5 linked regions of the Danio rerio genome follow. The protein of the gene in region 4 interacts with the protein of the main gene of each other region in a pairwise test. Links are inferred from orthologs where the notes say so. Each region holds a gene or a part of one and is shown on either strand. Other genes may lie near its edges.

What was found.
Region 1: the proteins of tacc1 (region 4) and htt interact in binary tests that used the Homo sapiens proteins (3 or more experiments, as listed by UniProt). The link is inferred for Danio rerio from reciprocal best matches to the Homo sapiens genes TACC1 and HTT.
Region 2: the proteins of tacc1 (region 4) and sh2d4a interact in binary tests that used the Homo sapiens proteins (3 or more experiments, as listed by UniProt). The two-hybrid records come from large-scale screens. The link is inferred for Danio rerio from reciprocal best matches to the Homo sapiens genes TACC1 and SH2D4A.
Region 3: the proteins of tacc1 (region 4) and lsm7 interact in binary tests that used the Homo sapiens proteins (3 or more experiments, as listed by UniProt). The link is inferred for Danio rerio from reciprocal best matches to the Homo sapiens genes TACC1 and LSM7.
Region 5: the proteins of tacc1 (region 4) and snrpg interact in binary tests that used the Homo sapiens proteins (3 or more experiments, as listed by UniProt). The link is inferred for Danio rerio from reciprocal best matches to the Homo sapiens genes TACC1 and SNRPG.

What each region holds. Positions count from the first base shown.
Region 1 is NC_133176.1:44,387,067-44,393,073, forward strand, and holds part of htt (huntingtin), read right to left. Parts: intron 5,540-6,007; coding exon 5,425-5,539; intron 3,419-5,424; coding exon 3,187-3,418; intron 1,706-3,186; coding exon 1,600-1,705; intron 1,518-1,599; coding exon 1,355-1,517; intron 745-1,354; coding exon 584-744; intron 1-583.
Region 2 is NC_133185.1:7,472,292-7,478,298, forward strand, and holds part of sh2d4a (SH2 domain-containing protein 4A), read right to left. Parts: intron 3,202-6,007; coding exon 3,054-3,201; intron 416-3,053; exon of another isoform or gene 256-415; coding exon 66-255; intron 1-65. UniProt on the Homo sapiens protein: Inhibits estrogen-induced cell proliferation by competing with PLCG for binding to ESR1, blocking the effect of estrogen on PLCG and repressing estrogen-induced proliferation. May play a role in T-cell development and function.
Region 3 is NC_133197.1:10,399,525-10,405,966, reverse strand, and holds lsm7 (U6 snRNA-associated Sm-like protein LSm7), read right to left. Parts: upstream 3,562-6,442; 5' UTR 3,547-3,561; coding exon 3,541-3,546; intron 3,299-3,540; coding exon 3,208-3,298; intron 3,105-3,207; coding exon 3,033-3,104; intron 725-3,032; coding exon 582-724; 3' UTR 49-581; downstream 1-48. Other genes in the region: sass6 (spindle assembly abnormal protein 6 homolog), read left to right, coding at 3,920-3,984, 4,135-4,195, 4,285-4,364, 4,484-4,588. UniProt on the Homo sapiens protein: Plays a role in pre-mRNA splicing as component of the U4/U6-U5 tri-snRNP complex that is involved in spliceosome assembly, and as component of the precatalytic spliceosome (spliceosome B complex).
Region 4 is NC_133185.1:25,344,502-25,350,508, forward strand, and holds part of tacc1 (transforming acidic coiled-coil-containing protein 1), read right to left. Parts: intron 2,726-6,007; coding exon 1,714-2,725; intron 1,222-1,713; coding exon 1,186-1,221; intron 1-1,185. UniProt on the Homo sapiens protein: Involved in transcription regulation induced by nuclear receptors, including in T3 thyroid hormone and all-trans retinoic acid pathways. Might promote the nuclear localization of the receptors.
Region 5 is NC_133198.1:36,913,293-36,919,855, reverse strand, and holds the start of snrpg (small nuclear ribonucleoprotein G), read right to left. Parts: upstream 3,590-6,563; 5' UTR 3,473-3,589; coding exon 3,441-3,472; intron 3,206-3,440; coding exon 3,183-3,205; intron 1-3,182. UniProt on the Homo sapiens protein: Plays a role in pre-mRNA splicing as a core component of the spliceosomal U1, U2, U4 and U5 small nuclear ribonucleoproteins (snRNPs), the building blocks of the spliceosome.

The sequences.
Region 1 (6,007 bases), on a different chromosome or scaffold from region 4:
AAAAAAAAAGTACAACTTCTATTTTATAATTAGATTTAAATGTAAAAACTGCCTTTTGAGCAATTTACCTGTTAGCATAAAACAGTTTGCAGAGTGTTTATTTTATTCAAATATAAAAGTAAATAATTGATTAATATGGCCTTTGTTATTAATTCCCTTTATCATTATATTAATGTAAAAAATAATAGTGCAGCTTCATCTATACTTTACAGCACAGGTGTCAAACTCAGTTCCTAAAGGGCTGCAGCTCTGCACAGTTTAGTTCCAACCCTAATTAAACACACCTGATAAAACTAATTGAGTCCTTCAGGCTTGTTTGAAACCTACAGGTAAGTGTGTTGGAGCAGGGTTGGAACTAAACTGTGCAGGGCTTCAGCCCTTTTGGAACTGAGTTTGACACCCCTGCTTTACAGCATTAGCTGTAATAGGTCAAGAATTTAGTTTACAACTGAATTCATATAAAGACAATATCTTCAGTAAACCTTTGTTTAAAAAACAATGTTGTAATGTAATTTCAAAACAGATTTACACACTAAGGGGTGCATCAATTACAGCAATCAAAAGATAATTTGTTTAAGGATACAGGGCAGAGATCCACTGGCTGGTCGAGGCACTGACAAAGAAACAGGACAGGCTCCACATGGCCATGGCGACAGGCGTTCTCTGTGTGAAATTGGACAGTGAGAGCAGGACCCAATCCCGGACCATGGAGGACTGACCAGTGGCATGAAGCGTCTGAAACACCTGTAGTAAGAAGTACAATTTCAGTATCATCCAGCGACTATTTTAGCTTTTATTAATAGTTGAATTTTTATTTTGTTTTCATTTTACTTTTAAAGTTTTAGTAATTCTAGTGGAGTTTTTTTGTCATATTTATTGTCACATTTATTCCAATTTATAGTTGAATTTTTTATCGAGTTATAATTAAAGAATATTTCCGTGACAACTGCCTGAATACAATAATTATTTATTTATTCACCAAACATTTATATTGTTTAAGCATTAACTTTGGCTACACTGACTTCTTGTAGCTCAACTAGTCACAGTTTGATTCCCAGGGAACTGATCAAATGTGTAATTTGTGCCTAAATCAAAAATCAGAATCAAAAAAAATATGTAACTTGTATACAGTGTTGTTTTGGATAGAAAATGCACACATATAAATGTAAAAATATCTGTGTAAGCAGTGCTTCATATATCACTACACTATGATAACAGACAACTGAACTGACCTTTTTATAGATTTCCCTGATATTTTGCTAATATGACCAAACCTTTACAAACAAATTCATTTAAGATCACAGAGTGCATAAAGCATTACAAAAGACATCAGTGCCTAAAATATGGCACTTGCCTTGTAGACCACTGTAGCCATGAACTGTGGGTAAGGCTGCTGATTGGACAGGAACTCCCCAATGACTTTGTTCATAACATCCTGCAGTGGGAAAAAGTCATCCAGGAACTGAGGAAGGATCCTGGCCACAACACGTGCCTCACTCGGAAAACCTTTGCGAATCCTGGCGCAAGAAATTGCCACAGATTAGGCAGATATATTGTGATGAATCACTGGAACAAAAATATATGGTTAAACATACATACCTGTCAAACAGAACAGATACACGCTCCATTGCGACGATGACTGACTCGCTGTCAGGAGCTGTGGGGTCTGCATCAGCAGGACGTCCAGGACTTCCCTTCTCCTTTCCTGTAGTGTAAAATGAGGGCCATCATTAAGAGGAACAGTTTGGTTTCTTTACATTCCAAATAAGAAAAATCTCAGTTTTTTTACAAAATAATAAGAACATTAATATGCGTAAGTGATTAGTTCACTACCAGAATGAAAATGTCCTGATGATTTACTACCCACTTGACATCCAAAATGAATTCAATTTAGTCCTTGAAAATGATTTATGGTTTTTGAGGAAAACATAGAGCATCATTCACCATATAGTCGACTTTAGCGGTTTTCGGTGGTTTCAATTTGCAAATTGCAGTTTCAGTGCAGCTACAAAGGGCTCTGAACAATCCCAGAACTAGAATAGATCGTCATTTTCTTAAAAGCATAACAATCCATGTACTTTATAACAAAAAAAGAACCTTATTCCTTAGCTGGGATAACTTAAAATACTTCAAAGCTACATTTAAAGTTCAAATAATTTACTACCAGAACATTTCCACAGTATAGAGAAAACACTGGAAGAAAATCTATTTGTTTAGCAACTGAAGAAAGAAAGAAATGATTTTGGATGACTAGCAGGAGCGCAAATTTATCACATTTTTCTGGAAGTGAACTAATCACTTAAAACAACCTTAAACATAAAGCACTTTCTTAAAGGAACACTCCAGTTTTTCTTAAAATAGGCTTTTTTTTTTTTTTTTTTACAAATCCCGTAGCTGAGTTTTACCATTTTGTGAATCCATTCAGTTGATTTCAGAGTCTGACAGGAGCACTTTTAGCTTAGCAGAAATCACTGAATCGGATGTGCCCATTAGCATCTCGCTCAAAAATGGCCGAAGAGTTTCAGAAGATTTCCTATTTAAAGCTTGACCTTTTGCAGTTACATAGTGTACTGAGACTGACAGAAAATTAAAAAGATGCTATTTTCCTATTGCTAGGAACTATACACAGATTTGAAGGTGCAGGTGTACGGCTTAGTGCTGGGGTCTTTTTTTCCAGGCACTGCGTAATTTTTATCGTGCCTGCTGCAGCCAGTGTACAGCAGCATAGTTTCTTGAACATTATGCTGGAATGATAGTATTGTTCCTAGTCATATCGGCCTAGAAAGGTGCAACTTTTTATTTTCTATCAGTTTTAGTACACAACGTAACTACAGAAAAGTCACGCTTTAAACTGGAAATCCTTAAATAGAAACTATCAAACTTAAAATATTTTTAGGCCAGATACTAATGGTCAAATGGCTAAGCTAATAGTGCTCTCACCAGACATCAGCTGAATGGATTGAAAAATGGCAAAACTCAGCTGTTTAACTCTAGAGAAGCTGTAAAAATACCTAATTATTATTATTATTTTTATTTTTTTGAAAGTGGAGCGTTGTTTTAAAGAACTCATTCTGCTGCTATGTGCTCTGTTAGTAAGGTGAGTATCTATAAATTGAGCCTGCTCTTATGGCTGCTACTGTTAGTAGGGTGGGTCAGTATTGAAGATGAAGCTGAAATGTGTCCTGCCTTCCTCTCCAGCCACACCTGTGTACATGCAGGTGAGCATGAGACCCAGGGCAGCCATGGCGCGGTGTGGACTGGGCATGTTCACGCGGTCAACGCTGAGCTTGACCAGTGTCTCTGCATCCATGCGTGAAAGCTGCTCAGACAGAAGCAGCCGCTCCAGACCTCGCAGGACGCAGTGGTAGATGATGGACGGTGTGGCCTCCTCGCTCGCGGACAGAATCATGCAGCACAGCTGGATATGCAGAGAAGGTAAAATAGAAGAGAGAGAAGGGTCAATGACAGAGTGTCAAAGATAAAGAAGAGAAAAAATTTGTAATCATTAGTTTAATGTTCAAGTCCTTCATTCTTAGAAATGTGTCTTTGGATTCATATCGCTTTGAAAATCTGTATTACATTCTTACCTCATGTCCAAACAGAGTTAAGAAAGCATAACGTTTTTTTTTTTTATTTGTTAGACAGGATGCTTAATATGATGAAAATGTGTACACAGACAGTTGTGTACAGATATTTTACCTCTCTTGAAGGTCTTTTCTTTGACCAGAGTTTTGGCAATCTCATGCCAAGTGTTACAACTAGGGATACAGAATCTGAGCACTTTGAAATCCACAGATGATTGAGTCTATTCATTTTCCTGTGTAAATTGATATTCATCCAGTAATATTATTGACTGATATGAAAATGTCCATATGATTTATTTACAATACAGTTTATAAAGTAATACTTTCTGTCTTTTAGTAGATATATTATATGGGAGACTTGCTTTGTTTACCAAATAAGTGGATCCAATTGCATTTGCATTGTAAAAATTTTATTCAAAGTTAAAACCATATTATTTTTTTTTTCATATATGAAGTTTTTAGTTATGATGCTTTAAAAGTCAGTTATTTACAAAATTCTCAGCAGAAATAGCAAAAAATGTCCGCAGATTCCATCTGGCCCTAGTTATAATGGTTATAACCCATATAAATATCTGTTTTATGCTAAGTTGTATAAATGTGGGTACTTTATAACTTCTGTGAATAAGGTTGCTGCTTTGTTTACAAACCAATTACTGTAAAAATTAACAAATAAATATGAAAAAAAAAACTGTCCTACAGATTATGCATGGTTTTTATGAAGGGTGACAAAATGTCACTGCAAGCATCCTTCAGGTTTAAAAAGATAGTAATAATAGTAATCATAAATCAATAAAACCATTTTCCTTACAGCTTTAAATAAGGTGAGCATACACAATTATTTAAAAAATGTTTTGCTGTTTTTTTACATTATGGATATATTAATGACATTAAAATTAGAATTTAATATAAAGAGGATTACTACAAATTTGTATTTATTTATTAAAAGCCCATGAGAGATAGAAGCTAACAAAAAAAGCATTTCTAAAAAATAAAAAAATATAAGTAATTTGTTTTCTGAAATGTAAATCTGTCCCTTGAAGCTTTCAGATATTGTTAATTACAGAATATTACATTATATTATAGAACTCAAGTCAATATCACTTATCTAATAACACTTAACCTAAGATTTGTGTAAATAAGTTAAATTATGATATAATCTCTGTTTCATTTAGTGTTTTCAGTAATTCATTTACTTATTGACTATATGTAAATGAAAATATGAATAAAATATTTAATAAAGTTATTTTTAGAAGATTGTTTCTTTGCTTCAATAATATCAAACTATCTATTTATATATATATATATATATATATATATATATATATATATATATATATATATATATATATATATATATATATATATATATATGTATTATTTATTTTTTTTCATTATGAAAATTAGTTTTTTTGTTGTTGATTTGACGTCACATTTTAGAAAACATTTTATGCATGATTCATCAATTTATAGATTAAACAAAAATAAATAAACAAACAAACTGGACATTGAAAGTATATAGATTAGACATATGTTATTCCTGTAATATTTAATATTATTATTTTATTTTTTCTTTCTCTCAAAGTGTATTAAGTTATTTTAAGTTTTATATGTTATTCTTGTTGTATTATTATTTTTATGTAAACCTACAATTTTAACCTTTTTCAATTTGTATGACTGTTTAAAGTAATAAAAATTGTGGTTTAAAAAAATTAACAAACAAACATCTCATGTCAACCCAATAGTCATCCAGAAACCGCTCATATGGATTACAAAATCAAACTGATCTATTAACAGATTATAATTTTATATATTAACACATTATAATGTGGTCTCCTCCCACCTGAATGATGCCGGCGTTGAACTCAGAGCCAACATCCAGCGGGTAGTTCTCCATCATGTAGAAAGCCACGGCGCACATCACCAACACATGCTGCTGGTTGTGCAGATTTACACAGCTGAAAAAGAGACACACACACATAAACAGCATTAGTCCTAAACACACTTGCGTATTTTCAGCGAGGCGATCTGATGCTAATTCTAGCGCTGGTCTTTAATGAAGGATCTCAGATCTCAGTAAGACACCATACATTACAGCTAATGAGGAGCTGATGACCATGCAGCGTGCCGTGTGTGTTGTCATTCCCTGTGTGAACATATTATTGAGTCTACCAGCATGCCACAGAGACTTTGGCATTAGCTTTGACTGCATGGGGCTTAACCTCTTAAGAGATGTGCTAACAGTGTGAAGCCTTTCATCCTATATTCTCTTAAATGAAACGGCAAACACCAAGAGTTTGTGCGAGACTAATGAGTGGTCGCCGTTGGCTGCTGTAGGGAGTGGTGTGGTGGTGGGGTTAAAGCTCAGGGCTGCTAAGAGAAAGGTTAGTGAATTCAGTCCACACAAAGAGTGAGCTATGAGCCTT
Region 2 (6,007 bases), about 18 Mb from region 4:
ATATACCTTTCTTTTATTATTATGAACAACACTGGCTCTGATGTGAACCATATGACATGACTCACCGATTAATAGCATTGCTGGTGTTTCTGGGTTTGGGTTTAGGTGGAGTTGCTGGATTTGAGTTGGCAAAGGCTTTTGTCATGGCTGCTACACGTCCTCTCTCTAGAGCTTTGACTGAGCGTCTGCGATGATCCTCGATTGTCTGTTTGGCGAGAGATCGTCTGCGCATGTCTGCAGCTTTAGACTTCTGCACTAAAACCACATGCAAAAATCACACTGGTTATTCTTATTATATATGCATCAGGGAGAACATAACACCAGAAAGAGAACTACTGACAACAACACTTCCCTTTTCAGACAAATATCATAAAGCCTGTTAGGATCCCCCTTGCCCCAATTATGATTCTTGTTACTGTAACAAAAATGTATCACCAAGTATTAAAAGTATGGATCACATATTAGATTTACAGTACAAACATTTTTTTTCCCAAATTCACATACATAGGGTTTTTCACAGTGTATTCACAAAACAATCAAAGATCGGATTCCCAAAATTGTAGGAATAAATGAAATGATATAATACTAAAAAATTTCCATTAATAAAAAATGGAAGTTACATTAATGATTTAAGGACATTATAAGAAACAAGAAAATCAATACACTTATAATTGTTTTGCATATCATCAAAAAGAAACGGATAAAATTAATTTGTTGCTTTTCAGTTACAACTCAATTGTGTACTTTTTTTTGTCATATTGTGGCACCCAGTCAACCCTTTTTTTAATTTTTTTATTTATTTATTTTTTATTACCTAAACTATGTACACATGGAACTATGAGGATGGCATTTTTAGGATCTTAAATGTACAATATTTAAAATACCTTATGTTCTTCTTTCTGTCTTTCGGTTATTTTTTCTCTCATTACTAGTAATAATACAAAAAATAAACAAAATAAAATTCACATCTTTCTAACTATTCATTCATTCTATAATAAATCTGGTCTTAACGGCAGAATATAATCTACCCATTTCCTCCATGTCTCAATAAACTCCTCAGTCTGTAGACGACGGTTCATTGTTAGCCTCTCCGTCTTATAGATTTCATAAATTATGTCAAACCAGTCACTAATTTGAGGTATTTCAAGCGGTAACCATTTTTTGGTTATAGCATTTTTTACAGGCTATCAGCAAAATTTTCAGCAGTTTTTTGTCAGATTTTTCTTCTAACATAGGATTTTTTTAGGCCTAAGTATAAAGTTGAGGAAGAAAAATCGATGGGGATATAGAATATATTTTCTAAATATTTATGAATGTCTTGCCAAAATGCCTGGATTTTTAAACATTTCCAGAAAATATGTGAATGATTTGCTTTATTTGAGCCACATAATCTCCAGCAGACTGCCTTTTTGTATAAATGTGTCTTTTGCTCAGGGATGACGAAAAAACGAATGATGTTTTTCCAACCAAATTCCCTCCAGACTGAGGAGGATGTTGATTTCCACTGTGTTTTAAAAATTATTTTCCACTCTTTCTCAGTAATTTCAATTTATTTTTTATATAATATGTGTTCTCTAATTTATTGTCTTGTAGACTTTTATACAACAAAAATTTTAACTAAAAAAGATGTAGTAGTGTAATGACGATACTGAAAATTGACAAAAAAAAAAAAGATAACAAATAATGAGATTATTTTTATGGAATTGCAGTAATGAGAAAGTAAGAGTATTTTGGGTGACAAAACAAACAAGGAGATATATATTTTGTAAAAATTTTCTGTTAATATAATACATTTACAACTTGCTTTTCAATGTTCTCTGGACATTTTGAAACAAGAAATTACATTAAAAAAACATTAAATGAACATCCAAATCAAATATTTCATGTTTCAGAAATACATCTAACGCGTTCAGAACATTGAGGGTTCATCCCTGTGCCCTAATCATCATGTTCCCTTCTAAGGGGTTTCGAAATGTTCGCTGTTGACATTGTAACATAAGTACATGTTCACTGTTAGATCAATTAATTGCTTTAATAAAAAAAACTTGACAAGTGACAAGTTGAACTTTTAAGGTGACTTAAAATTCAGCAAACTACAGTATGTGAAAAATGTGAAAATTAAGTCAATAGGTTTAACTGTCACCGTCTCGCTACCGGGACACTTAAGATAACTTCACTATATGTCAGTCTAATCCTAATCATGATTCTATCATGAATCATGATGCCTATATCTTCTAAATAAATATTTTACCATATGTCAATACAATATATTTTATAATATGTCACCTATTGGACTGTTTGCAGTTACATTTTTAAAGTCTAAACATAAGTCAGTAATGACAAACTATATATGATTTCAAAGCTTAAAATGTCTATTTTTTGATGGTTTAATTGATTTTAAGGAATTATTACTGAGCAACAGTTATTTATTTATTTTGAAACAGGAGTATTGATCAGAGTATTGATGTCTTAAGAGAATCAATTTTAATGAAACACAACAAAACACTGTCCAAACTGTGTTGAACCCTTTTAAATATAATAAAAATTGTACATCTGTCTAAAATGAGACTAAGCTTATATCTATATAGCAAAGTGTTGAAGATTGGCGTTCATTTAAGTCCTAGGTCTCAAACTCAATACCTGGAGGGCCGCAGCTTTGCACAGTTTTGCTCCAACCCTAATCAAAGATAGCTGATCTAATAATGTCTAGTGATCTTGACAACTTTGACTCGTTGGATCAGCTGTGCTTAATTAGGGTTGGAGCAAAACTGTGCAGAGCTGTGGCCCTCCCGGAATTTGAGGTCTATGAAGTTGAACATGCCATTTTCATGTCTATGTTCAAAAAGTGGGGGTTGCAGTTAAGGGGTTTTAATCACTTTCTACAAATAAAGTCAACTAATGGATTATTCAGAGATCCACCTGAATGTCCAGTACAGTAATGCAGATCCTAAATGAGTAGTACATGTAACAAATACAAGTTAAAATATAACAATAAATAATAAACTCATAAGAAAATAAGGTGTAGTGTTCAGCACTGATGAGGTTTGTCTTACATGTCTCCTTCCAGTCCTTATCCTCCTCCTCTAGTGTGTTTTTGCTGCTCTGCACCTCCTTTAGGCACTGGTAAATCTGCTGTTTCCTCTCCTGCTCCAGCCTCCTCAGCTCCTCCTCAGCCTTACGCCTCTCCTCCTGCTCCATTTTCTGAGCAAAAACAAGCATCCAGAGACCACAAATAAACTTAAAAGGAGAAAAAGGGAACAAAGGGTAACAAAAAAAGCCCCTGCAATAAGTAAAGTATTAGTTTACACAAAATATAAATTCAGTTATTAATTACTAAAACCCCCTGACACCTTTATTAATCTTTAGAATACAATTTAAGGTATTTCAGGTGAAATGTGAAAGCTCCCTCAAACTCCATACACAACAATGGTTTTGACTCGAGCAGAAAGGAACCAAAAGCATCCTCGAAACAGACCACACACCTGCAGTGGTTCATTCAAAATCCTATCATGTCAATTGTGCTCATATAAAACAGGAATAATGTCTTTATTCAACAGTTTCTCTCCTCAGTGTGAGTACAGGGTGTGCACCACATTCATGAGCACTGTGCACTGATGCATACCCTGGATGCCCATGACCAACTTTGAAACAAAGCACACATTTTATGAGAACCTGCACTGTAAAAAAAAAAAAAAGAAAAAGAAAAGAAAAAAGAAAAAAAAGTTGACTCAACTTAAAATTGTACGGCTTGGTTAAAACTTTACAAAAGGTCCAAACATCATCTGTATGTGCTCGTCATGGGATTCTACTGTGCAAAGTAGTCCACAGGGTTCACTGGTCTTAGTGTAAACTGGCTCGCGTGTTCACTGCTACAGATTTAAACTGTGACAAATGTCACTCCGAACCTGCAAATCTACTTCACATGTTTTGGACCTATCCAGCTTCGTTTCCTTCTTGGGAGTCTGTTTTTGATTCATTTTCAGTAATTACATTTATTAAAATTGATCCATCTCCGTTAATTGGCCTGTTTGAAATTATTCGTCAATACACACACACACACACACACACACACACACACACACACACACACACACACACACACACACACACACACGCGCAGGCACGCACACACACACACACACACACACACACATATATATATATATATATATATATATATATATATATATATATATATATATATATACACATACATACACAGTTGAAGTCAGAATTATTAGCCTTCCTTTGGATTTTTTTTCTTTTTTAAATATTTCCCAAATGATGTTCAACAGAGCAAGGAAATGTTCACAGTATGTCTGATAATATTTCTTTTTCTAGAGAAAGTCTTATTTGTTTTATTTTGGCTAGAATAAAAGCAATTATAAATTTTTTAAACACCATTTTAGGGAAAAAATTATTAGCCCCTTAAGGCTATTTTTTTCTTCGATAGTCTACAGAACAAATCATCATTATACAATAACTTGCCTAATTACCCTAACCTGCCTAGTTAACCTAATTAACCTAGTTAAGCCTTTAAATGTCACTTTAAGCTGTATAGAAGTGTCTAGAAAAATATCTATTAAAATATTATTTACTGTCGTCATGGCAAAGATAAAATAAACTAGTTATTATTAGTTATTAAAACTATTATGTTTAGAAATGTGTTGAAGAAATCTTCTCTCCGTTAAACAGAAATTGGGGAAAAAAATAAACAGGGGGTCTAATAATTCAGGAGGAAATCATGTTTTTTTTTATTTTTTCATAAATCACACTTTGATTATATACAGCTACACAGCTAACATGAAACAGACTGATATTTCCTAGTTCCTCTGAAAGGCCCTCTGATTCCCTCTGCAGCGATTCGTGGATCAGCTCCACGTCATGCCCGTACAAGCATGCGCTTTTCTGCTGTGTAAACAGTCAGTCAACCTCCTGCCTGCTCTCTAAAATAAAATCTGACATGTGTCTGTAACGAGTGAAAATGGGGTGCGACTCATTTAAGAGACATCGCTATTGCGTGTGTCTGTGTGAATGTGTGAACTTTCTGTATATGTGTGTAACATTTATGCGGGACTTTCTTTTTCTTTTTCTCTGATGCTCGGATTAAGTTATTTTCTGTAATATATCGTCACACTGTTTACAGAAGAATAAAACACAAGATGTGGGATGAGACCTGTGTGAGCCTTGATTTATTTTTCTGCTGCTATGAGTCAGGTGAGCTATTGTGTATTTTTTAACTCAACGCGTTACACAACGTCTTTCACATATATCCGGAATATGCAGGTGTAAGTAATATGAATCATCCACATATCTTTTGCAACTTCTTAATCTGAGATGTGAAACGCATAGAAAAGCTGCCTAAAGAGAAACAATGCAAAGTCGTGCACACACATAGAGAAAGGCTGCACACGCCGGTGAAGTATGTGTGTGTGTGTGTTTACAGCAGTTTGACTGATAAATATGAATTTGTAGCTAAATCATTTGTGGTGGAAAACAGCATTACCCATTGTTTACATCGTTGCTACAGCATACCGTTAACACTAGACACTGTACATGTCATGATCCATTTTAACAAATAAAAACACTTACAGGTTGTAGTTCACAGCTTCTGCTTTGAGGAGATTTTAACCGAATCCAGCACTGAACTAGGAGAGATTCTGGAGCTGTGTTTTGTCAAATCATGCTTGCTGTGTGTTTTATAATTCTCTGGAACATAATTAATATTGAACTGTAAGCACTTCTCTTTGTGTCGTGTCCTTTGGAAGCCCAAATACAGAAACAGAAGAAGTTCTGTGGAAATAGCAGCGTTTGGACTGCTTTTTAGCTCTCTCTGCTGTAACGTTACAGCGCCTCTGGCCACAGCCCTTAGCTGTGTGTGTGCGGTAAAAGTACGTTTGTGATCTCACAAGGCCCGCAAGCATTTTTTTGTAGTCCCCAAAATTCGTTCATTGTAGGCTTTGCTAAGCTAACTCTGTAAAAACCAAGGTCTCCCTTTGCATTGAAC
Region 3 (6,442 bases), on a different chromosome or scaffold from region 4:
CCTTATAATCCCAAGGTGTCACGACAGAAGGAAAAACATGTCCCAGAGAAGGGTCCATAACAGTCTTTAATCTAGGGATTTATTTTTTTTTTAGTGTAAAACACAGTAGAAGACACCATGTAAATAAACAAGAATGTTTTCTCAAGGCGTCCAGTAACCAAAGCCCTTCAAAATACTAGATTACACAATGTTCTCAGAAAGCTGGCTGAATGACGATGTCCATTTGTGTACAAAAGCTTTCTTAAAAGAAAAACCTGTGGGGTCCACCCTTTGAGGTACAGGTATAATCTTAGTTTTTGCTTAATGTGTAAATTTCAGGTGTTTATTAACGTCAGCAATAAAACAACATAGAAAGAACCAGGGCATCATTATACACCTTTTTCATGAACAGAAAACATGCCTCATAAATCAAAACCTTATTAAACACACATTTCAACACAAAGCAAAATCCTATCTAAAAAACCTAAACAAACATTTATCCTGTGTGTAAATACAAAATGTTACACTTTTCATGATTTCCGAGCTAACAAAAACCTTCTGTATTCTTCACCAGGCATTTGCACAGGATCACAGGGAGAATATTATCCATCCTGCTGCTGGATGAAAGGGTTCGGGATAGCTTCCATCCCATCCTGTGGACAGATGAGCACAACAGACGTCCCTCGACAAACAACCAGACCCAGCTGCCTGGTGTCTTCGGTCAGTTTATACTGGTCATCAGGATCTGTGTGGGAAATAAATGTGGTCAGAAATCATATAAAACCATTGATATAATGATAATAGTCAAACACAGATGTCTTTACTCTTAGGGCGGGGTTTTTTCGTATTTTCGGATGTGTTAACACTTGTAGTTTAGTCAGTTTGTTTGGACCAAACAAAAAAATTATACATAGTCCTAGTTTGTCAAGCTTTCATACTCTGATTTTTGACAGAAAAGCAGCTGCATTTATGACATTCAATTCAGCTTATTCAGCTTTATTTGTATAGCGCTTTTACAATGTAGATTGTGTCAAAGCAGCTTCACATTAATGGTCATAGTAACCGGAACAGTGTAGTTCAGATTTTAGTGTTTAAGTTCAGTTCAGTTCAGTTTAGCTCAGTTCAGTGTGATTTAAAATCATTACTGAGAGTTCAAACACTGAAGAGCAAATTCATCAATGCGTAGCTCTACCAATCCTGAACCATGCGAGCCAGTGGCGACAGCGGAGAGGGGAAAAAAACTTCACCTGATAGGAGTGAAGAAAAAAAACCTTGAGAGAACCAGACTCAGTTGGGCACGACCATTTTAATTTCTCCGCTGACCAAAAGTCATGTGCAGAGCTTCAGTCACCGCGGTGGATTCTGTGACTTTAAATTTTCAAAACAATTCTGTATGTTTAGATACACTTGTTTGCTGTATGTGCATGCACACATTTTTTAATCAGTTAAATACGGTGCCCTAGAGAGGACAAATGCAGTGTAAACATGCAAATAGAAAAACACTTACAAACTGAGAATTAATCGTCATTAGTTTAGTAACGTGAATGCAACTTCCAAAATATGCACATAGAAATGTTTTGGGGGACCTTTGGGGCAGCTTTCTTTTTAGAGACAGTGGTGTTGTCAGCATTTAAAGCTAAAATTATCCAAACACCAGGGAATCATACAACTAGGACGTTAAAGTAAAACACTCAGCTCTTTGACAACACCACCACCTCTAAACAGGAAGCAGAGGGTCGGGTTCATTACATTTTCAGGTCCCCCGACACATTTCGGTGCATATTATCACATTCAGGAATATGTGTCTCAGCTTTCTCAATCTGTGTTTTTCTATTTACCTGTTGTTGTTTTTTTTTTAGTTATAGTTTATCCGAAAACTAACCGTTTCACTACTAGATTTCAGCATTTTTCAAAATATCTTCTTTTGTGTTTAACAGAAGAAAGAAACTCAAAAAGGTTTGAAACATATAAAGGGTGAGTATTCAATGACTAGGCGTGGGACAATAACTGTTTTAAGGTTTATCGCGGTTTGAAAAGTCAAGGTTTTAAAAACGTTAAAATTGTCTGTTATACCGTTCTCAAGGTATTTGTAAGTTTTTTTTTTACGACTATTTTATTGAGTTTTTTTGGGCAACAATAGAAAAGGACCATCCACATCACAAGTTACCATGATTCAGGAAACATCTGAAAAACAAATCTCTTATAAACCAACATCCAGCATGCTGTAGAGCTGAACAGTGTAGATGATTTTTTTTATATCCAAAGAAAAGAAAGATATCCAAAGATGCCTTTTCAAGTTGAAAAGAAATCTGTGCTTTTGAAACTAATTAAGACAGCAGAAGTCAATGACATTCAACAATTAATAAACAATAAATTATTTAGCCTGACATTATAGTTTCAAAATATTTTAAATGTTAAAAAATATAAACCATGTTCAATGGGGGAAAAGTTTTTTTTTTACTCAGACATTTAAAAATAAAATATTTTGGAGCAGTATGTACAATAACATGATATTGTGTAACTGTGATATTTCAACCTAAGGTTATCAACCGTCAGAATCTTATACCAGCCCATGCCTAACAATGACAGTATTCATTTTTTTAGGGTGAACTATTTAACTTCAAGTGCATTTAAACTCTCTCAGAAAACCATATTAAATGTGTCAAACCAACACCAGAATTTCCTCTGGCTCACACACACCCAAATGAAGATCTGCTGAGACTGTTTCTGATGCCTGAACTGAACGGTAAGGAGCAACATTGTTATGCTGACAAAAATAGCTATGCTGGAGCATTCTGCCTTTTTATGTTTAATATCATGGCATCATGTCCTCTTTGGGTTGATTTAGATGCATTTATATATCAGTCAACCCACAAGAGTTTGTATGTTGCTTTATATAATTTATAATTTAATAAATTGATTAATTTTATAATTTAAATTGCAGCATTTACACTAAAATTTGTTCAAAACAAACCACACTAACATTAATACTGTGAGAAATTTAATGCAGAACATAATTTGGTACATATTCGGTTTACATTAGCACATTTTACCTCGCATGTATTCAATGGTGCCGTCCAACACAAGATTCAACAACGGGTCGAAGCCTTTTAAGACGCCACTTGCTGAAAATAGGAAACACTAGTGTCAAATTTACCACAATTCATTTAAATATCATAATGTGAAACATTTAAATTCATAATTAATTTCATAAAGCAACTCCCTCACCTTCGCGACCTCCTTGAAACTTTACACGTATATGTTTGTCGATGTATTTCGACAAATCAAAAATACTCTCCTTCTTTTTCTTGTCTTTGTCCTGAGGATCCAAAAACATATTATATAACAATCTCCAGGCCTCTATAATAAATATCAGACTCGTAGCTTAGCACAAAAATACACCACACATCACATTTACAATTACCAGCACACCCTAATGTGTAACAACATAAATATCAAGAGTGTAGGATATATTCAGGTGCTTATATGTTTGTTTATAACGCCGTTTGTCCTTAAAAGTGTTTATAATGTGAACGGTGTGGAAACGTTTGCGCTACTCACCGCCATGTTCAAAACTCCTCTACGCCCCGCCCACTCCGGGTTCACGTTTGACGTCTACCTCTCGGCCAATCACAACGCGCGCAGGTGAACTCTGATATCAAATGTTTTCAATTTTATCAGCTTTATTCACGCACAACTACACAGTATATACAGCTTTAAATGTTTATATCTATATTATACGATTTATAAAAACAAAAACATGTTGAAATACGATGATACGCGTGATTAGGTTGAAGTGTTTCTCACTTCCGGTTGGAAACGGACAAACGCGGGAGTGAAGCGCGAAAAACAAATGAGTCTTTCAACAACCTAAATAACATCTTTAAAACAGGATTACACGATTTTTAATTATTATCGTTGCTTTGTGAATGAATTAGGAATGACGGAATTACTTTTTAACAAGCGGTTGCAGGTGCTGGTGAAGAGTAAAGATACCGATGAGAGGTTTGTGTTGATTGTCTTGTTTTTGAACACAATGCCTAACTTAAATTGATTTATGGTATGAATTTTGGCTTTATTTTGTCTGTAATTATTAACATTTCGAAGTCTGTAAGGGTCTATATGTGTTTATATATGTTGTTTTTGTTACTACAGGCGTTCGGTTATTCGCGTTAGCATTGAACTGCAGTTACCATCCAGCCCTGTTCACAGAAAGGTTTGTTATTAACATGTGTACAACCATATTTATGCCTTTAAGCATGTTTTATGTGGTCTTATAACTTTTTTTAAATTTTTGATCAACAGGATTTAGTTGTACGGCTGACTGATGATACTGATCTTTACTTTTTATACAACCTTATCATATCAGAGGAGGATTTTCAAAGGTATTGTGGTATTAAAAGTGTCATTTCATCAATGAGCCATATTTATTTTCAACACTTTGCTATTAGGCTTCTATGTGATTATATTCTGTGTAATCGTTTTTATTTGCTCTTCTTCACAGCTTAAAAGTACAACAAGGGCTTTTAATAGACTTCACATCATTCCCACAAAAATTTATAGACTTACTTGAACAGTGCATTTGCGAACAGGACAAAGAAAACCCACGGTAAGAGGTTATAATTCATAATAATGTTCAGATGTTGCAGTTGTTAAAGTGATAGACAGGCTAAAGTCAATAATTACTGATGATTTAGTCAACCTCAGGACAAAAATTTCTTATTGGTTCTTCACTGAGTCAAATATTAATACTGTTTGGTGTTTATTTCAAAAATATAAACTTTTTGAAATGAAACTTATATAAAATTTTATAAATATCTATCTAACTATCTATCTATCTATGGGAAAAAATAAAGAGACCCCTTGAAAACTCTATATTTGTATTTGTCTGTACATGTTTGAAAACATTTCTTTTTTTCTTCTAAATTTCAAATCAAATAATGTCATTTAAGCATTTCTTAATATTAAAAATAATAATAGCAATAAACGGTTTAAGAATTTTACTCTTGTATGGTTAAAATGGACACTAACATGTTTTTTGTAATGTTAATTTTTTGTTATTTTGCACAAAAATCAAAGCTAAAAGCACATCGAGAGCAGGGATGCAACGATTATAAATGTTGATCGTACGATTACAGTCTGAGGAATAATCACAATTTCAATCGAGATTAGGATTATTATGCATTCATTCATTTTAAAACACTACTAGTTTAATAAATCACATGAAAACTACTTATATTTTAAAGTGTTGTTTATTGCTGCTCACTTACCAAATAATACAGCACAAAATAATAATAAAAAAACAAACAATATTCAATGTCTCTCTTTAGACTTGAAGATGAAAAAAAGAAAGAAAAAAGTTTCATTAAAAAAATGAAAAAAGTGTAATTAAAAAAAGTAATTGTATACTCAAAATAAATGACAGAATAATAAATAAATAAATGAAAATAAGATAAAAAAGTATTATTATTCTAATGTAAATCTAAGATTTATATTAGCTAAGGATTTCCCTTTTAAAGAGAACAAATTTAGTCAAAGGCTGCTGAGCCTCTGTCTGAAAGGATCTTTTGATTTAAGTATATTATAAACTTATCCAAAATCAAACAAAAAGTGCTCAGGGGTTGTGTCTGTGCTCTTTGGGTAAGGGATTCATCAAAATAAACAGCAAAAATCAGTCCGAGGCATTCCAAAAATGTGGAAAAATATATATTTTAAAAATATTTTTCCACATTTTTTGAGTGTCTTGGAGTGAATTTTTTTTTTTTTTTTTTTTTTTTTAGAAATGTGTATTTTCCAAGCTGACCAGTCACTTTTTGTCATGTGACTCGTGATGCACTCGCGGCATTCTTTCAGCTAGGTTTGCCTGAAAAGCATGAGCATGTCAAGTCACTCCCAATATGTGCACACCATAAGCTAACATACAGTTGGCATAACTTAAATAACTTACAGAAGATTTTTTTTTATGTGTAAAAACATAATGTTGAAAAGCCATTACGATTAATTAACCGTGACAAATTAAAGCGCGGTTAATAGTAAAGTTGGTTAGTTGTTGCATCCCTAATTGAGAGTCGAGAAAAAATTATGTTAAAAATGAATAACCCTGGCTTTTGATGGCACATTTAGGAAATATGAAGATAAATGATCAGCCTGTGCAAGAAAATGAAATTTATTTGCAATAATATTACCTTAATTAATAATAATAATAATTCATTTTATTTGTAAATGGCACCTTTCTGGACACACAAGGTCATCTTACAACAAGCATCAACAGCCATAACGGAACAATTTAACACAATTAATAAATCGTTACAGGTACAAACACATCGTGAGTATAAAATAACTTGATCAAAAAATTGTCTAAAAAAGCCTTCTTAAAAAGATGGGTCTTAAGATGAGATTTAAAAGTGTGAAGACTGTCGCTGCTCCTTAGATCCAGGGGAAGCAAGTTCCATAGTCGAGGAGC
Region 4 (6,007 bases):
TTCAAAGAATAATTAAAACTAAGGCAGTGACCACTGCTGCTTACAAAAGGATATTTTTATATATTTTTGAGGACTGTGGGTGCAAGATCATTGCTTTTTGTCCAGTCTATTTCAAAGAGAATCGATCGCAGCAGTTGCATTTCCATAAGGCACGGTTGCTTCGTGCAAGTAAACGGGGGCGTGCACGCTTTTTAAAAGTCGCGCGTATCACAACACCTGTGCGCGCAAGTGATCATCCTCTCATTCTGTATTCACCTGCTTTCTTTTGCTCACGCGAACAGTTTTTTTGTCAGTGGTGCTGCTTCTCGATTCTAAGATCACATTTGCACAAATATTTAGCCATCCTTATTGTCGAATCCTGCTTTTAATAGAACTGCAATTTAAGCGTTACTTTCAACCAGCCAAAGTGGCTGGTGGGAGTGTCTGTCTAACAGCTTACTCGCATTTGGTGGGTTGATAGCTGTTAATATCAAGCCCTATGTGTGTATGTGTATATATATATATATATATATATATATATATATATATATATATATATATATATATATATATATATATATATATATATATATATATATATATAGATGTTGATGTGCCTGCAAATGTGTTTAAAGCTAAAGCTTTAGCATAGGTGCTGCAGTCACACCTGTGGGTGTGATTAAAAATGCTAAATTTTGCTAAAATAATAAATATATTTAACATTTAAACTCCATTATATCCCATATAACCAGTATCATCAGCATTAGGGTGGCCAGTCAGCCTATTATCTAGATTTTAACACTTTAAATTCATTGGCTAACCACTCAAAAAATAGTGATAGTCATTCTATTCAAAACAAACAACCTACCATACTTATTTACAATCTACAAACCGATAAGTGCTTGATAATAACACTTCAGTGAAAATACCAATCTAAACTACTAATCTGCTAATCTGATGGTTACAGTGAAAGGGTCATACTTAAAAATCGTTACAAAACGCCCATGGTCTAAATCAATACTGTCTGCCTGAACAGTTTGAATACAATAAAATAAGACCTTCTGCCCTAGTTTGTTTGGAGGACTGATACTGCACGTGGTTCGTAGCCACAGGGCAGTTCAGCCTTCAGCAAAGCTCATGACATGCAATGGGACAGAAGAGGTTACAGTCATAGTACAGGAAAGGAGGGCAGGAGAGGATACTTACAATAGAAAACAGAGAAACCGCACTTGCTCAGTGGTCCTGAGGACGGTATGACAGAGGGAGGGACGGGGAGGGAGAAAGCAGACACAGAGAGGAGGGGATGTGGAGAGGGACGTGCCGTAAGACATTAGAGGGCAAAAACGAAGCATGAAAAAAAATTAGGTAGGAGTGAGATCAAGCTTCCTGGCTTCCCAAACAAATAGGAGCTGGTTAGTCAATGCCATAGTTTAGTGAAAAGTGTACAGCATGACAGTGTAAATATGACTGCCATGACATTTTTGACAGTAAACTGTGATATTGGGCCATGTGAAAGATGTGTGATTAGACTATCAGTTGAGATGTAAAAAAAAAACAAATAGAACACCAACAATAAAATAAAAACACAAAGTGAAAAGAATGTAACATGTTAGTGGATGCAAACTGCTCGCCCTTGCTAATTTTAGGCACAACAGCTAGCTAGGAACACAACACAAAGCCACAGATAAAACATACAACAGCTTTTATGGGTGTCTGTCAGGCATAATCACTCACGTGAGGATCCTGTCTTTGCTTTTTTTCGGAGACTGTCCAGCTTTCTTACGCTGCTCTGGAGTTCCGTCAGATTTGAGTTTCTCTGTTAGCTTCTCAGATGTTGGTTTAACAGAGTCACTTCCACCTAAAGACTTTGATGACTTAAAAGGGTCAACAGAGTCATCAAATGTATCTGGGTCAAAACTATACGATCCTTTAGGAAGCGTCGGCGAGCTGCTAAGTTTTTGTTTCCCACCAAATGGATCAAAGTTGGGATCGTCCCACTGATTTGGGTCAAAGTTGTAGGATTTTTTAGGAATAGGAATATCATCAACGTTGATGAGATCCGCGTTTTCAGGTGGTTGTTGGCTTTGTTCTGAGGATGTCTCTGGTAGTGGAGCTGCAGTTTCTGCAGCTTTTGGGCGCAGTTTTTTTGGAGTAGTCAGCTTGCTGCTTGTCTTTTTTCCAGACTTTTTGGGTGGGTCTGTCTTGACTTCAGTATCATCAAGTCCAAACTCAAGCAAAACTGGCTGTGCAGGCATTTCATCCATCAACTCTGATTTAGGAATACTCGCATTGGCAGGTGGAGAATTCTGCAACTTGGACCCACCAGTTGGAAATGGATTCATGGTTTCATTAACCTGATCAAGGTCAAAGTTATAGCTCCCCTTCGGAAGTATCGGAGGATCATCGTCCACCTCGTTGGGGTCAACACCATTCAGTGGGGACTTCACTTGGAGAGAAGGAGGTCTAACCTTGAGAGACTTGGTCTGTGGTTTTGATGATGGTTCCTCAATGTGACCATTGCAGATATTGCTGTGTTCTGTTGCACCTGCATCATCAGGATCAGGCTGGTCCACATCCATGTCAACAGATGAAAGCTGGTACTTAGGTTTCAGGGTTGGGGTGGAGTCCAGACTGCTCTGCCGCAGGACTGTTGCAGGTGCATCCTCAGCAAAGCTCTTTTCCAAGGTCAGATTCTGAGTTTTTGTTGTGATGGCAGTCAAATGATTTACATATTCTTCTGAGAAACCTGTAGAAAGTAGAAGAGGTATACTTCATATCACAGTCTAGATCATTTATAGAATTATCTTGTTGAAATATGGCAATAATATTTTGCAATATAGTACGTTCGCCTAATATACTATCAGGGAGTTTTCACTTTTCCTTTCATATATACTTAGAGCACATACTATTTGCTCTATTGTTCAACCTATAGGATATTTGAAGAACAGACTTCCTTACGACAGAAAAGGCAGGAAATGCTTCTGACAGGATGCAAAGAGCTGAACAATAGTCCTCTCTTCCCTTTCTTAGGCATAAAAATGCAGCAGCACAACTTTAGGCAACAATCAACGACAAAAGTAGTCTAGATGTTTCAACACACCCATTTCAGATGTACTAGAAATAAGACATGGCCTTTCTGTGTCATGACACTGCCTCTATACAACTTCAGTTGTAGTAACTATGTGTGAAATTGTGTCAGCACTCTTTCAGTAGCCATTATAACACACTTCTCATTGACAAACAGTCCCACTGGCAGTCATCGCTGGGTTTTGATGCAACAGCCTGTTGCTAAGAGACAGGAAGAGATTTATTTATAAATGAGATCTATGACTTTGCACTGACCTCAGATTGAGACGTACTAGCTGCTATCTGTTCTAAATATTTACATGCAAGAAAGAACATGTCTAGTGATGAGGAGAATGTTTCTCTAAGCTAAATAAGTCTAAATTCAGTTAGTGCCCCAACACATTAATCTTGGTGCTGATGGGTGTGACATGAGTTTGGGTTTGTTCGAGGGATATACTATAGAGGTTGAGGGTCAGGGTTGGTAACCAAAAGGTTTTAGGACTGATCCCAACAAGATTGTACTTTTAACTACTGAACAGACTAGCACAGACTGCTTCAGGGGATTGACCTGGAGTAAGTTGTTTAGGGTAGTCCTTCTCAAAAACTCTTAGAGGCCTAGACCCATTGCATATTTTACACGTCTATCTTATCTAAAACCAGTAATTCAACTCATCCTCCCACTAGTAAACTGCTGGAAGATCTGAATTTGTTGTGATTGATGATGGAAGATACACAAACTGTGCAGTAGTGAGGGTCCCTAGGACAGAATTGCGAAGACTGTTTTATGGTAACACTGCATGAAAATTGCTTTAATGCAACTTTAATGCCAGCACTGTCTAAACTGTCACACATTGGTATCTACCGTACATCCAAAAAGAAGAACTTGAGCTTTACCAACTACCATTTTAGGGAACTTGCTTTACATGTACAAAATGAACACAACTGTAGCCTTCAGCACAATATTGTTATCACAAAATCCCATCCACAGACCTTCCAATAGTTGGTCTACACCCAATCTTCCTCCTGCTTTCGCCAAGTTTTAACTTTCTTTTCCTCTTTGTGTCTTTTCCTCCACAGCTGGCACTACACTGTCCTTCGCTGTTCAACGAGATATCAGGCTGCCCTTCTCATCGAGGACATAAAAACATTCAGTTCAGCACTTTTTAAAAGTCTCTGGGGTTGCTCTTGTCATCACGTCCAGAGGTCAAGGCTCCTTGGTATCTGCGTATAGGATAGTCTACTTTGGAAAACAAAACGTTTCGACAAACCTCCACAAGTGGCAGTCATGAAATTGATTTCCATTTGAAGAGGTGCCCCTTAGTTGGGATCTTGTCCTGTGCTCCCCATGGGTCAAATGCAAAGCACTCTGGCAATAATGTTTGTATAGAATGCACACTTCAGTCATCATTACAGATTACAGAGGCAGGGGCTCAAGACCCCTGATCCTTTCAGTCTCTGAAAGCTATGGTTGGCATGTGAACATGCGAATCATCAGGCACAATGTGAACGGTTATGCAACCAGTGCTAGTAGCCGTGACTAGAGCTTCCTCTTTGTGGTGGGAGTGTTATGCCTTGACCATGTTTATTTCATCAAAGTGAGCAGGAATTGCATCAGTCTGCATGAACTAACACAACACAAATGCTTCCATCTCCAACCCAATGAGATACTTGTCAGAATGGTTTGATTATATAACAATGGTAAAAATAATAAGAACACTTATCCCTGGCAAATATATAATGCTGTCACATATATTAATGAATTCAGTCTTAAAGAACAATAACAATGACCATGTGCATGACTGAGCATTATGGTTAGGAAAGGCAATTCTACAGTAAATAATGCATATTCTCTATCGTCTGAAAGAAACTAATGTCTGACTAAGATGCAGCAGGATTTAGTGCCTTGGGAAGGGACAAAAGAAGCCTTCTGTTTACATAACCACAAATTCTGGCTAAAGCGCTGCTAGCCATGAAAACGTTTATTCCAGACAGCTAGCACTGGAGTGTGTCTGTACTGCTGAGAGGATGAGGATGTCTGTGGTGGAAACTGGATTGTGCGCAGCAGGAGCCAAACTTTTACTGTCGGTCTGCTCAAGCAATCCAAACCACGACACGTAGGCTTGGAAAAACTGCCTTTTTTAGCCTGAAGTATGCTGCAAATCACAACAAAACTTTCTCAAAAACTTGGCATTTTAGTTTTCTAGATGTAAACTAAAAGACAGCATTAGTAAATTAGAAAAATGGTGAGCTAGCAAAATTTCAATGAGTTCAAATGTGTGTGTCAGTGTGTCTGTGTGTGTCATTTAGAGAAAAGATCTAAATCACATGATGTTCGTGCCTGCAAGCCTTTGACCTTGTCCATTGATAAAAGTGCTGTGAGTGGAGCGAATGCTTTTGTTCAATTCCAAACTCTTGAATTCCAAGCTGTGCGCTTTTCCCACACTGGGTCAGGGGCCTCTCTTTACCCAAAACTCTATTTTCCAACCTCAAAACCTCCTCCACTTAAGTAACTAATACTGTTTGCACTGTTTTGATTCTAGCTGAGGCCAGATTGTGTCGTCCTGCTGAATCTCTGTAACGTAAAACACAGAAACTCATCCACAAAGAGCTTCACTCAGACTCTAAAATAAGATTTCAAAATGCGAAAAAAAATAACAAGATACACATGTTTTCATGTACATGCATATGGTAGAGACGAGTCAGATTTAAGTGTGTTTATGGGATTTTAATGGGCAGAAAAACGCCTCAAAAAGAGTCTGGAGACTTGCAGCTGTTTTCAGTTAGTTATATGGTGCACTGCCCTGAAATTGGACACATGTCTGAAGGTGGAGAGGAAAATATAAAGAAAACAAGCTTTTCTACAAACTTTTCTAGATAAGGAAATGGAACTGAAATCTGCTGTCAAAATCGAGCTTTTATTTTACAGCCTGTTGAGGCCTTATACTGTAAATCACAGTGGCTA
Region 5 (6,563 bases), on a different chromosome or scaffold from region 4:
TGCGGCTGGAAGGGCATCCGCTGCGTAAAAACTTGCTGGATAAGTTGGCGGTTCATTCCGCTGTGGCGACCTCGGATTAATAAAGGGACTAAGCCGACAAGAAAATGAATGAATGAAAATAATGTAAAGCCCTTGTTTGGCACTGAAAGATCAGTCGCATTTATATAAACGGTATCGTTGCACTAATTCATTGATGTAATAATGAAACTGTGCGCATTATTATTACTATAAAAGTATATTGCCTTAAGTCAGTAACTTGGGCAGCAATGCAAAGTAATACCAAATTAGTGAATAAATAGCCTAAATGAAAGGAACAAGAGGGTCCAAAATCAGTCATAAGGTCTGCCCTTTTAAAATGCACCTGGCAGGGCCTGTCAGGGATGGCATTGTGGAGTTTTGCTATAACGCACATCAAACGCACCCAAACAAGCTAACCAACGTATTCAAGACCACTAAAGCTGGCAGGTGCTTGATGGGCTGGAGCTAAAATCTGCATTAGCCCTCAACTGATGTTGCCCATGCAGCCCTATTGAGTCGGTTAGTTTGCGTTTGCAGACCTGCTATGTCAATGTAACTTTATATTTTATTCATTATTTTAATTTATATTTTGCTAATTAATACTTAACTGTAAAAATGTTATTGAATATACTTAAAAGATTTTCTATTTACGTTCAATATGTCTGATACAAGGTTTAATATGTGTTAGTTGAGAAAGTTATTGATGTGCTCTGGCTCCTTTGAGGGAGGCGCACCGGAAAGCAGGAGAGAGAGGGAAAAAAGGAAGTGGAGGAATTCGGCAGATGCAATGCTGTTGTAATGTTGTTTGTGAATGTTATGTCGATGCTCCAGATTAAAGAAAAGAAACGAATTATCACCCTGGTAACCAGCGTTTATTTACGATGCCCACGTTGGAGAGAATGGTCTGTAAACAGCCAGAAATAAGGGTTACAATAACATGCCCGCTCACTTTTGCCAAGGCACTTACAAAAATACATTTCTTCTGATGCCATCTATCTAAAATGAACATTTACAAGCACAAAGACGTGGAATCGATCTATTGTAAAAGGTACTTTGTAAATAAGCATTTGCTATCAGTTCAGAGTCCCTTCTTCCGCTACGATCAGTGGTGAATTAGTCTTGTCTGGTTCTGTTCATTGTTGATTGGGTGAGAGCAGCTCAAGCTTACTGGCTGTGGAAATCAGCGGGCGTGGCTCATTATACTTCAGGAAAGCGCCGTTTATAACGCGCGTTTCAGTGGGGTTAAAACGGCGTTTTAAACGGCGTTTTGTGGCAAGCGGATCGCGTCATAAACCGCGCTTTTCACTAACACTAAAACGGCGTTAAAAACGGCGTTTTTTACAGGTTTACGCGCGTTATTTGCGGCGTTTGCAATCAGAACGGCGTTTTTAGCGGCGTTTGAAATGGTATTAGCGCCGTTTAATGCGGCGTTTTAATTGTAAACGCGATTGATTAATAGTGTTTTTATGAGCTCTTGGGCTTGCCATAAGATGATGATGTGCGCGCGCGGGACTTGTTTTCTCGCGCTGGATCAGTTGAGCGCGCGCGTGAAGATCCCCTGTGCGCTTGCAGCTGTAGTTTTCTCGCGTGTCTGTAATCTGCTCACGGTTCACTTCTCCTCGCGCGCAAACATCACCGCTGCGCTCGATTTATATTGGCATTGATTTGCCGACATAAGACGAGTCGGACATGATATTTAAGATCCCACATGAAATTTAAGACCTCCTTATGGAAAATTACAGAATTCAAGACATTTTCAGACCTTAAAAATCGAAAATTTTATTTAAGACATTTTAAGACTTTTTAAGGACCCGCGGGGACCCTGTAAAATACATCATTGAACGTTTTTATTGAAATAATATTAATATATATTAGAGCTGCACAATATATCACTTCTTGAGCAATGATATTGAAATGTGTGCATCTGCATTAGTTACATCGCAAGATAGGCGATAGTTAGGATTATAGATGACCACCAGAAACCACTAGTCAAAACACACAAGATTTGTGGAGACACTGCAGAATTTAAGCACAATAGAGTGAAAGTTTATCATCACTTTAAGGCATGTGGCTGAGCATTTGAAGAGAGTTTAAAACATTAGTAGTGCATGAAAATGTTTAATAAAGATTAATTTTATTAAAATTTGTGTATGGTGAAGACTACACAGTGCTATTTTACATTTGATTATTCGATTTCAGTACCTGAATCAGGGTTTCTGCAGGTTATACAGTTAAATTTAATTGTTTATAAAACCTTTATTAATTACATTTTAGACCCATAAAGTGCTAAAAGCTAAGGAATTTTTCAAATAGCCCTGATGGAAAAGATTTTTATTTGCCCTATCAAAAACATTATTATATTTTAATACATTTAATAATACAATAATAATAAAAAAATATATATATTTCCGATTTTATTTCTTAGCAAAATATTGTGTAAAAACAAGCAAGCTCTAATTGTATCTATACACTTTTTTCCTCAACATAAACTTTCTTTAAAATAAAAAAAAGAACAAATATTTTAAAACTTTTAAAAACTACAATAAACTAAATCTATGCACAACAATCTCTCCTGTTCAGTGTCCTCAGTAGTAAATACATGGAGAACTTTTAAACACATGTTATTGTATGGAAAATAATTAAACCATTATGGTAAATAGATTAAAAATTACCTTTTTAAATAAAAAGTTTAAGGTTTTGTTGAGAGGATTGTTGGTGATTGTATGGGTGTTAATGGCCAGACTGGGTAGCAACACATGACTTTAAAAAAAAAAAAAAAGAATCAAGACCTACACAATACAATATTTCAGTCAAATTAATACTTTTTAATGGCCAAATTTTGGATTTTGACATTTAAGACACTGTGGAAACCCAACTGAGTACTGTTAGACTCTCAAGAAACCCATTAAGGACGGTTTATTTCACTTTAATAATTACGTTACCCAATTGTGTGTGTGACTAGTTTGTATAAGAAACTACATTAAAATGTATATTTAAATTTCACTCCCCTACAAAACCACTTTTCAAATATTTAATTACTTAATTACAAAAAAGAAAATATCGCAATGTATAGTTTTTTCAATATCGTGCAGCCCTAATATTGAGCTATAATTCATATTTTAACTGGAAAGAGAAACATCTAACGTTATTAAAAGATTACTCACGTGAAAGCTTCTTGTCCATAAACCTAAGAGGGGAAAAGGCACTTTCTTAATTCACAATAGATACACCACCAAACTGAAAGCTAACTCATATAAAATATATCAAAATGGATTAGCAATATAAGTTATGCTTGATGTGAAAATAAAGTAATTTAGCCGTTAAACTGAACACACACCGGCTAACGTTAATAAGTTGCCCATGTTAAATACTTCTTAATATCAAATTTCTAAAAAACTCAAGAAAATACTTGAAATACTTACTTTTTCAGCTCGGGTGGATGTGCTTTGCTCATGTTTATTTAGTGAGATATGCTAGTTTTGTCAAACAAATACGTTTGAATCACGTTTCAAGCGTTGTTCGGAGAATGAGTGAAATGCAGGAAGTGACGTTTTGGGTCGCGGGATTTTTCCCTTGTACTAGCACCATTGAGTAATATTGCCCTCTACTCCGGCGGATGATGAACTACAACAACAACAACATATCGACAAGGTCGCTGGTTCGAGTCTCGGACTCTCGGCTGGGTCAGTTGACATTTCTCTGAGGAATTTGCAAGTTCTCCCCGTGTTCGAGTGGGTGTCCTCCGGTTTCCCTCACAGTCCGAAGACATGTGCTATAGGTGAACTGAATAAACTAAATTGTCTATAGTGTATGAGTGTTTCCCAGTACTGGGTTGCAGCTGGAAGGGCATCTGCTGTGTAAAGCATATGTTGTATAAGTTGGTGGTTCATTCTGCTGTGGCGACCCCTGATGAATAAAGGGACTAAGCCAAAAAGAAAATGAATGAATATTATACAGGCCCATAGCCAGCCTGGTAAAAGGGGTGGTTCTTTTTTCTAAGTAAGTTTACCTTTTTGCAGGTATTTGCCTCATTTTCTATTTAATTATTAGATATACTGCATTTTAGTGATATTTTAAGCACTATCTTTAGCTGAATTAACCTGTCGAATAGTCATCATAACCACAATTTTGATGAATCAAAATATTTCCTAAAATTTTGGAATAAAGAAAAATAAATAAATACATATTTTTAAAAAACAAATGTTACAGCCAATATTAATTAAAAAAAAGGAATCTATTAATGTTTAAATTAAAAACTGTAGCCTATTATAGCGACATTTATTGGGCAAACAACAACTTGGCCAGCTCATTCAACTGTCCTCAGTTAGAATTTGCCCATTTGAATACATATTATTATTAATAATCAAAGGTTCAAAACTGATAAGCTGAAGTCACACCGCAGCAACAGCCAACAGAGGATTACAATTGGTTTTAAGACCCTTTTTGCTTAGTTATTTTTACAATTTATGAAGCATAGCAATTATAATGAGACAAACAAGCTCATATATGGAACAAATGTTGGACCTTTGTTAGTGAGGGGTAGGTCTTTCGAACCCCTCAAAGCCTATTGAGGTAAAGTTAATTTTTATATTCGCACATTCACACTTTCTCCTTAATAATATAATTTCAGAGAAGTATTCACTGCAAATTCTAAATAGTGAAATCATATTAGCAGCCATCAACCATCAAAGTGCAACATTGTTGACAGTCAATTTAATATTGGTAATGTTGCTTTAAAGTCATATTTACATCTGATTTCAGTCCGAAAATTCAAAGTACCACGGTAAACAATATATGGAGCTGTCACTGAACGAATGTGCGAACTTTACCTTAATCCAACCCAACCCCCCGGCTTAGGGCCTGTTATAAATCCAAAACTTACAAGAATATTTTAACCAATTTATTCAAAAATAATTTCAACGTACATAGTAACATGAGGTAAATTTTCTGACAAACATTAGTCAAAAAAAAAAATCAAAAAAAAAATCACACATTTTGGGACAAAGCAGGTGATACTTGAGGTAGCCGCAAGTAAACACAGCCAGAGATTAATGCACAGCTAAACTGAAACATCTATATTCACAATAGAAAAATGAGGTACATTCACTCATCTCATACAATGTGAGCCATAAAGGTACATTTAATACAGTGTTCAAGGACAAAAAGGTCAGTGCATAATAAGAAAAAAGCTGATACGTCACTGCAGCCTATCTGCAAAAGTGTTAGCTGTGTTATACAAAAAGTTAATGCAGATTATAAATTTTACATCATATTACAAAGGTTAGGAAGCCCAAGCAAGAAAAAAAGAACAAAATTTTTCTGCTGCAAAAGTCAGCGAAACGGACAGATCTGAGGTCTCAGTTCATTCTCCAGAAAGAAACTGAAAATATACTTGCAATTTTTGGTCTGATAGCATAAAATGTCATATTTATATATATAAAGCAAGCGACTGTAATGCTCCAACATGTTATATTTTATTCCCAATGTTTAGCAGCAGGCATCTGACTGGGTGTTGTTTTGATGCTGTTATGAAAAATAAAGCTTACTGTATTACGTTTGCTCAACACAAACTGAATAGTCAAAATCAAATCTCAAAGATCAACAATTATCAATTAAACAAATTTAATTGTGTTTGTGCTTCAGCTCGCAAGACATTGGCCATATATAAGACTTTATACTTTTGTTCAATATATGCCATATATACACAAACACATGTAATGCATATAGGTTTTATGTGTGGAAGTGTGGAAAACATTCATCCTAAAGATAAACTACATGCAAAGTGGAAGTGGTTTTAATGAGGTACCAGTATCTGATAATGCAATCGGCTTCTTATTATTGAAGGAAACATGTCATAACCTAGAAAAAAGACGATAAGAGTGTGTTTTCATGGAGTTTTACAATGAGGAATTTATATTGATGATAAATTACAGTTTTCTACATCATAAATCACACATTCTCATGCAGTCAACTATTAGAAATGTATGTTTTATGAAACACGCACGCATGCACGCACACACACCAAAATGTATTTTTTTGTGATAGATGTTTTGGTTATAGTCTAATTCAGTGTTTCCCCAACTCTGTTCCTGAAGGCACATCAACAGTACCCATTTTCAACCTCTTCCTAATCAAACACACCTGAATCAATTCAGCAGAACATTAGAAGAAACTTCAAAATCTGAAGGTAACAGGTCAGATGAGGGAGATAACCAAAATATGGACTGTTGGTGTGCCTATAGGAACATGGTTGGGAAACACTGCTCTAATTTAGACTGTAGAGCAAAGCATTATATTGTTGAGTTAGGTTTACCACAGATGTTTCAATAATTATAATAAGAAAATCTGCATTATAAAAATCTTGAAAAGATGCAGCCCTCCAGGAATTTAGTTTGAGACCCATTATCTAAAACAGTGGTGTCCAGACACTGTCCTGAACGGCTGGTGTCCTGCATATTTTAGTTCCAACCCTTATTAAACACACCTTAACCAGCTAATCAAGCTCTTCCTCTGTACACTAGATTTCCAGGTAAGTGTGATGGAGG